2 linked regions of the Caenorhabditis elegans genome follow. The protein of the gene in region 1 purifies or fractionates together with the protein of each later gene. This does not show direct contact. Each region holds a gene or a part of one and is shown on either strand. Other genes may lie near its edges.

Region 1 (4,196 bases):
AATTGGCAACATTTTTCTTATGGGGAAAATTGAAAACTTGAGGAAGACAGTTCAGGAAGGGCACGATAAAAAATTGAAGTGATGCATAACTTTTGCGATGAACAGGGGGCCAAGCTTTGGCTTAACTCGGACGCAGCTTGAATTAAGTCTTTCCAAGTTTTTCACAAACCATGCCAGTTAGATAAAGTTGGGAAACAAATTGGGAAACAAATTCGTAATACTACATTTTAGATATCGACCACTATAACAAAAGAGTTCCAATTATATAAAGAATGTTATTTAATTTTTTACATTGCATGCTTACTCCAATCATACAAAACGAACACGAACACAATATCAAGGTTCGCCCTTTGCCCAGCCAAACCTATGACATTTTTCCTTCTCATTTAATGTACTTTCACCCGGTAAACTATGCTAGACATCAACCGTTATGACGATTACGAAGTCGCATAGTCTACTTGTTCCAGCATGGTTTATCAGCAAACACTGCACATTTTTGGTGTGACCATATTTTATCAATCACATTGTGCACTCTAGAGAGCGGAAATATTACGATGATTTGTGATTTAAGGTTTGAATTTAGGAATGCATTTCACTAGGTATTTTCAAAGAAAAGGGAACATTTTTCTCAATTTTTTGTAATCTTCACTCAATGGGCTACGGGTTCATGTTTAGATATAAACCACTAGTTTTTTGGAATTGTATGTTTAAAGTATTCTCCTAAAACAAAGACGACCAGTATATCCTAACTCATTTAATTGAAAGTTAATTTAGTAAATTATTAAGCTAATGGAAACTGGTAATGGTTTTGTTTCTCCAGAAAAAGCAAATAAGGATATATGTATTTATACCTTGAAAAGTAGAAACACATGAAAATGAAATAAGTTAGATAACTTAAATTGTTGAATATATACATAAATAAAATAATGTTACTTTTTCAATTTAGAGACCAATAGATCGTGCAGCATACTGATGGGTGGAATGCATTGGCGTCCCCAATGCAGATTTCATGTCAGCCAAACGCAACTTTTTCCAATCTGGGTTCGTTCCGAACGCTTGAGCAAGACGAGCAATTTGGACAAGTGATTCTGGAGAGATTCTGAGATGATCGATGGTCACAGAGCGGCCGTCGGAAGAGCACGGAGGAATGTCGCGGGCGGATAGCTGAAATCAGTTTGAAAATAATTTAATTGTTCATTCTACGATTAAAGATTGTCAGGGTAATATTCGAACGTTTTTGACACTCTGAAGCTATTACTTAAGTAGATTTTTCAGGGTAGATTTTTTTTATTAAATTAATTTTTAAAGCAACTAACCGGATTACTGTATCCACTGCTTCCAGTTCCAGACTGAAGGCTTCTGGCCAGCATTTGAAAGTCAGGATCGTTAAAGAGGGTCTGTGCACTTTGTTTTACTTCTAATGGCAAATTATTGAGGGTTGGTTGCTCCGGAACTGGAGCAGGTGCAGCTGTTGATGGAGAAGGATATTGTGAAAGTTGGGGCATCTGAAACGTTTAATTTTTTAATTTTAATTTAACATTCTTCTATTCTCAACAACTTATTTTCATCTCGAATAGTTCTCAGTCAAAAATGAAGCAAGAATTTGAGAATTCAAATACTTCCGTAGGATCACACTCTGCACCGGTTCACAAACAATGCTAAACTATACTAATTGTGAGTGCTGAATGTGTACATGCCTCTAGCAAGAACTATCTTATTATTTTTGTGTTTGTTAATAAAAATATATGCGAATTAAAAAGTAAAATAAAAATAAACTAAACCAACTATTTAAGAATAGGCTATATCTTAATTAACTCTTCTCGAATGCACAAAAATTAGGCACTACGTATTAAGTATAATTTTTTACAATTTGAATGTACAGTAATTTTTCTTGGCACTCACGGCTTGTTGAGGTCCGTATACATATCCGTGGTGAGCCGATAATTGAGGAACCGTCTGTGATGGCTTGATCTCCTGCTGAGCAGGATATTGCTGGGCGGTTTGAGTGTACTGCAAATCATAAAAACTGAAAATAGAAAACTGATATTCATACCTGTTGTTGATTACTTGTTGGGAAGGCCGCAACAAAAGCCAGGTATGAAACTGCTAAAACTGCGAACTTTAACATTGGTGCAATTTTACAGCCAGAAAAAAATTAATATTTGCTGGATATCGTTACTTCTGCGTAGCTAGAAGTCGACTTTGTTGTTCGTTGTGAAAAGTGCTCTGATCTTGCCAGGCGGTTGCCAACCTTTTATATTCGCGCCTGAATACTGGCAAACTTCCTGTTAAGACAAACAACCGCATTTGTTGATTGTTGTTCGGGAGCAAGTGGTCAGAGGCGCTTACCTGTCTTAAGTCGCTTAACAGAAAACAGAACAAGACGGATTTTGTTTGAGTCTGTCCCCTTCGTCTGCCGGTAGGAAACAGTGGTTTGTGGCAATTGAGCAAAAAGTTCAGGGTCTGTTCCTTTCATATTCCACCTGGTGAATGTAGTCTTATGTTGCAAACAATGAGTTTGATAAACGTCATTCTCAATCAGTCCGCAAAATTTCAATTACAATGGTCATTGTTTCACTTGATTATTTGGTTTTTTGATATTTAGCAAATCTCGAACATTCTTGCGATTTTTTATGCGGGACAGATTTAATAGCAAAAATTCAGTAAGCAAAGCAACTAGAAAAAATGAATTTTTGAGAAATAAAATAGAAAACTGAAAATGGATTGCACTAAATATGCATTGAAATTCATATTTTCAAGATGTTGTTGTCGACAATTTAAAAGAGATATGTTTAAATATTTTCAATGAGCATACTCTTCCAATGTTAATTTGCTGTATTATTCTACTGCGTTTCAAATTGTAAATTCACCAGAAGTGTATAACATTTGTCAAAACCAAAGCAGGTAAAATACATTGTACATAATCTGCAAATTTTGTTTTGAAATTGTCAACTACAATTTAAAAAAAACTGTTCATTTTTTTTTTGACACGACGTGAGAAACAATGTACTGGGACAACGAAAAATCTACCAAATATAATTAGACCGGTATTCGCATTAATATGTCGATGAGAAAAACAATTCTTTGAGAAATCGGGAACAGGAAAAGTATGTAGAACTCGTGAAGTGATGTAGTAACATTTACAGTTTTTAAAACATTGTTAAAGAGCATCTAACTAATATCTTTGGAAATGAAGGACAAAAGCATCTGAACCAGAAAATCTACCAGATTTTGAAAATACTACCAGGAGGTGTGGGAATTGAAAAAAAAACGGAGCTATAAAGTCAAAGGTGAAATATGAAAATGCAGTTTATTTAGCTGAGAACTTTGGAAGTTGGACGTTTGTGCATATTGGAGAAGATTCAGATAACTAACATCTTTTTTTGGCAGATGGTTCTCCTGCCTCGGTAGCATTACTGAAATTTATGATTTCTTTATTGATTAATGATAGAAAAGTTGAAAAAATTCTACGGGGCTACTTAAAAATAAAAATAAAAAACTTGTTTACTGGAAAAATACAAAAGGCATACTTTTTGTTTCAAAATCTTTTGAACCAAAATCATCACCAAAACGCGAAGAAAATTGAGAAAAAAGTGTGGGAAATTTTCACAAAGCTTTTGTTTCGAAAAGCTTCACAAATCACAGTTTTTTTGAAGGGACAAAAAATATATCAACATATTTTTCAAGTCTGACCCTTATTGAACTTGAATTAAACAATTTAAAAAACCCCACTTTTCTTTCTTCTCGTCATCTCTGTGTGTATTTTGATTTTGGTCCCGTTTTTTCATTGTTGGCGTCGCCAATTGTGTGGAGAGCCTGAAACTTGAATACTACGTATATGCGCATAATCTGAGGTTTTTGGAACATGATTTCAGAATACTAAGCTTGTCAAGAAGTGCGATTGTTTATACAGGTGTTGGGTTTGATTTTTGAGGTTGATATTCGAAATAGAGTGTTTAAATAAGTTATAGAATGGGGACAATCGATGATTAAAATCCTTTAACCCTGCGTTTGAGTACAATTTTTTTTCGAAACGGAGTCATGCCATGTGTGTTCTATTTTGTTTTTTTAGTAATTTCAACAAGATCACATTTCTACAAAATGGTCTTGCCACGCGCGCTCCTTAAAAGTTGATATTTTTATTTAATGGATACGTTTTTAATGTGTTTTGAAAAATGCAATTTTTAGAAATATGA
Region 2 (3,952 bases), on another chromosome or scaffold:
TGACGCATTGAGGCATCAATCAAGCTTGAGCGCGGCCTAAACAAAATCTCACCTGGCCCAAGCTCATACATTGCCGCTTTCTAATCCAAATGCGTAACCATTGGACAAATTAACGATATTTTAAATGTTTCCAATTTAGGAAATGGCAAATAAAATGAAACGATGCATGGAGTCGAGCGACATCCGTTTAGTGTGTTCAACGTTGCCACGTCTTGCAGCAAAACAGGATCACGGCCGTATCAGTGGAATTTTGGAAAAGATCGATAATTTGACTCGTGATATGGTTGCTATCCGTGAAGAAACTGAGAGTAATTCAATTAAATGGAGAAGAATTAGTACTTCGTCTGCGAGTGCTTCGACAAATGCGATTGGGAACTAATTGAACATTAATAATTGTCTTGGTAACTATGTACTTGCTCAGCTGGTTTCTAGTTGAAAGTAAACTTCGACTCTTCCTTTTCTTGGAATATAAAATACTCAGTTTTGTATTGACTTGTTATTGAGTTCGAAAAGTCGATCCGATTGTTTTTTTAATCTATTACTGTCACAAAATCATTTCTGCAATACTCTACAATATCGATAATCCGCGAACTTTCCACCGTGGAAATCAACATTGTCCAATGACTATCTGATATAAATCCAATTGACATACGTGAAACAAAAGTAACCGTACACACCGAGCGTGCCGAGACCCGCCAAACAAAAATTCAAAAATTTATTGAAACGATATTTAGTGTGAAGTCATATATTTATTTTCAAGTTTTGAAAATCTACTAATTTTGCATAAAAATTGTCTATTCCATTTTGTCTCTAAATGTGCTCGGAAATTCACTTTTTCTGCTTGAACTTGGCGGTCATATGTAGAAGTTTTTGGAATGTCGTTTTCAAATTCTGGAAGAACACATAATTTGCAACAAAATGGCTACAGGGATTTTTGAAAAAGTTAGTTTGAAGCCAGACATTAATTTTCAAAGTTTGGAAAATTAATGTAGGGCTGAAAAAATATGAGGCCAAACAAAGAACTTGGGCTTACTTTTTTGAACAACTAATTCTAATTTAGAAGACATTTCAAATAACCATACACAAAAATAGTGACAGATGAGCACTTTAAACTAGAAAAATTCGCTCTCCGACCAGAAAAATCATATTTAAAGTACAATTTTTCGTCCCATTTTCTCTACTAACAGAAATTAATTATTGCTTCGGATTTTTTTTTTCAGAGATAATTTGCAAACTCCTGATTTGAAAGCTAAAAAAGCAATTGCATGAATTCTGAAATAGAGTGAATTGATGATAACAGTTGTTTATATCAAAAGTTACACTTACAATTAGGAAGAGCACATAAATTTTATCATACATTGTAAACACAATAAGCAATAAATGGGTTATAATATACGGAACTATGGTTTAAACACACTATAAGGAATAAAAATGAATTTTCATCACTTAAACGTCTTACTTCTCATGTATATGCATGGTTTCTTATCGATCGATATTTCATTTCATTGCTTATTTTCTACACATCCTTAATTTTATTACAATAACTTTTGGTTTTAGTCAGGTTTTTTACTCATTGAAAGTATCCTATTAAATATTTTAATATAATCCCTCTGTAAGGAATTTTTCAATACCGCACTGGAAAACAGTTATTTGTAAATCAACAAATATAAAACACGATCAACGAAAAATTCATTTATACCAATAAGAACTTCAACACCTTTGATATGCAACATTTATAATAAATACCTCAGGTTGCACTAATATGTCCTTTTCCAGATTGTTATAGAAGAATGGGTTTTTACGAGGATTTCTTCGCCAACACTTATCCACTAAAAGATTACAGATTCACTAAAAATATGGTATGGAATTTCCTTTTTCTTCTAAGCCAAAAAATACAGAAAACTCGTTTCAATGAATTGAAAAAATGATAATTGCTATTGACGACAACCGTGTAAAGTCAAAATTCTATAGGAACACCAACGACGGAGCCCACAAGAAACTGAAAAATATTACGAAGAACAAAAGAAAATTTTGAGAAATGTTCAGCACAAGAAGCTATTGGAGAAACAAGAAGCGAACAGCAGCGCATTAAGATATGCACTTCAAAGGTTCAGCCTAGAGAAGGAACATCTTGAGAACTCCATTAAAAAATCAAAAAATATGGTTAGTTATAGTTAAAATGTCATTTTGAGGGTTTTTGCCTCGAATTTATCGTTTTCAAACGTTCGAAACTTAGATTCCAAGTTGAATTTCCAACCCTTACTCCAACGATTAAGATAAATAATTTTCAGAGAAATCAATCCGAGGAGGCATACCTATCCGAACTTAAACGCCAGGGATTGGAAAAACACGCCGCAAATGTAAAACACCAAGAAACAATGTTAAGAATGAGTTGCTCAACCGAACTGGATAATCGAAGACTGCAGCTGGAACATCAAGCTGAACGTGACAGGATCAATTTGGAATCTGAAATGAAGAAAGGGAAGTTAGCGGAGGCTAAGAGAAACGATAAACTTGAAAAACACTTTAATGATGTCGTTCAAAACGCGAAGAGAGCGGGCTCATCGTTATTAACTGCAGTGGTGTGTTTAATTGAATTGGTGCAAAATAAAGCTGGAGAAGATTCGAAAACCATTGCAAATCGTCAGGTAATATTTTTGGAGTTTTTGGAATTTTTTGAAATTTTTTGGAATTTAATGATCATTAAAAATTCAGAAGTACCAAATTTCAGATTGCATTGAGTGGTGTGAAGAATGAATTTTATAAATTGGCGGAAGCATCTGAAGACATTTCAAAACTCCAGGGGATTAACTGCATAGAAGACAAAATCAACAAAAACGTTGCAGTAGAGATTTTCAGTGAAATAGCCGATGCTCGAAATTGCATGAACACATTTGTGGACTCCTTTGAAAATGAAAAAATATCGTTTAAAACTTTGCAAGTCTTCAGGAGAAGAATAGAGGTTTTAATAGCACTTCTAGACTTTCTGGTGGAAATTGAACGGAAAAATCATGCTGCTAACGTGATCAATGACAGCGAGCACTTCGCGTTTAATAACATAAGAAGGAGAGTGCCAGTGTGGAAACTTCTATCAATAGACATGTTCCTCTACATTTTGTTAATTTTTTCCACTTTTCATTTCTATCGATATGTTTTTCTCAAGGCTAATATTTTGTAGCATCCCATTATAGCATCGAATGAGCACCAATAAATCTTGGTTTGATTTAGCATGTTTGGAAATAGATAAAGTATAGTCATTATAATGAAATTATTTTTTGTAATTGATATGTAAAAAGCTATGTATATGCAAAACATGCATATGCCATGTGTGGAAAATTATTGCTATAAGTTATTTGATCGCGTGCCATTTCAGAGTCTGATAAGAAAAAGAATGACGAAAGCAAAAGGAACTGATAACAATTGCCCATTATTTATTTACATTTTCTGAAATTTAATAATTTTTTAAAACCCTTGGCAGACGCTTAATTTTTACAGGTAATAATGCTAGAAGAATTCAAGCAGGTATTCAACCAGTATTTGGAAAATTTCAAAAAGACGGTGAGCTTGAGTGTATGTTTCTGTCTAATTTTCAATATTGTAGGAAAACAGGCCACATTCACACGAAGAAAAGGGAATGATGCAAATAGAAAAATCAAATTACAAAGACATTATCATAAAACTTTTCGAATCACGCACGGAACGATGGATGAAAAATCGGATAAATGAGTTGTGTGACAAGAAAATTTCAATAAACCGTGAATTAATCAATAAGAAAAACGAATTGCGCACAGCTGAAGAACGACTTGAAAAGGCTCTTTGTGAAATGGTTAGACTTTTTTTGCCCACTATAAAAAAGAGCAAAACTTTCTTGAGCTCTAAAACTAAAAATTCATAATCTGATTTCTGATTTGATGTTAAAAACTGACCCGTCAGGTGTCTGGCGCTGTAAGAA

What was found.
Region 2: the proteins of C49F8.15 (region 1) and pals-15 fractionate together in Caenorhabditis elegans (co-fractionation; one large-scale study listed by BioGRID). This does not show direct contact.

Annotation. Positions count from the first base shown.
Region 1 is NC_003284.9:13,360,370-13,364,565, forward strand, and holds C49F8.15 (uncharacterized protein), read right to left. Parts: upstream 2,218-4,196; 5' UTR 2,129-2,217; coding exon 2,054-2,128; intron 2,011-2,053; coding exon 1,903-2,010; intron 1,506-1,902; coding exon 1,317-1,505; intron 1,165-1,316; coding exon 943-1,164; 3' UTR 832-942; downstream 1-831. Other genes in the region: C49F8.1 (Miff domain-containing protein), read right to left, coding at 3,371-3,416, 3,733-3,816.
Region 2 is NC_003279.8:13,141,411-13,145,362, forward strand, and holds pals-15 (DUF4200 domain-containing protein), read left to right. Parts: upstream 1-1,784; 5' UTR 1,785-1,790; coding exon 1,791-1,859; intron 1,860-1,971; coding exon 1,972-2,163; intron 2,164-2,291; coding exon 2,292-2,648; intron 2,649-2,731; coding exon 2,732-3,178; 3' UTR 3,179-3,213; downstream 3,214-3,952. Other genes in the region: pals-14 (Protein containing ALS2cr12 (ALS2CR12) signature), read left to right, coding at 140-379.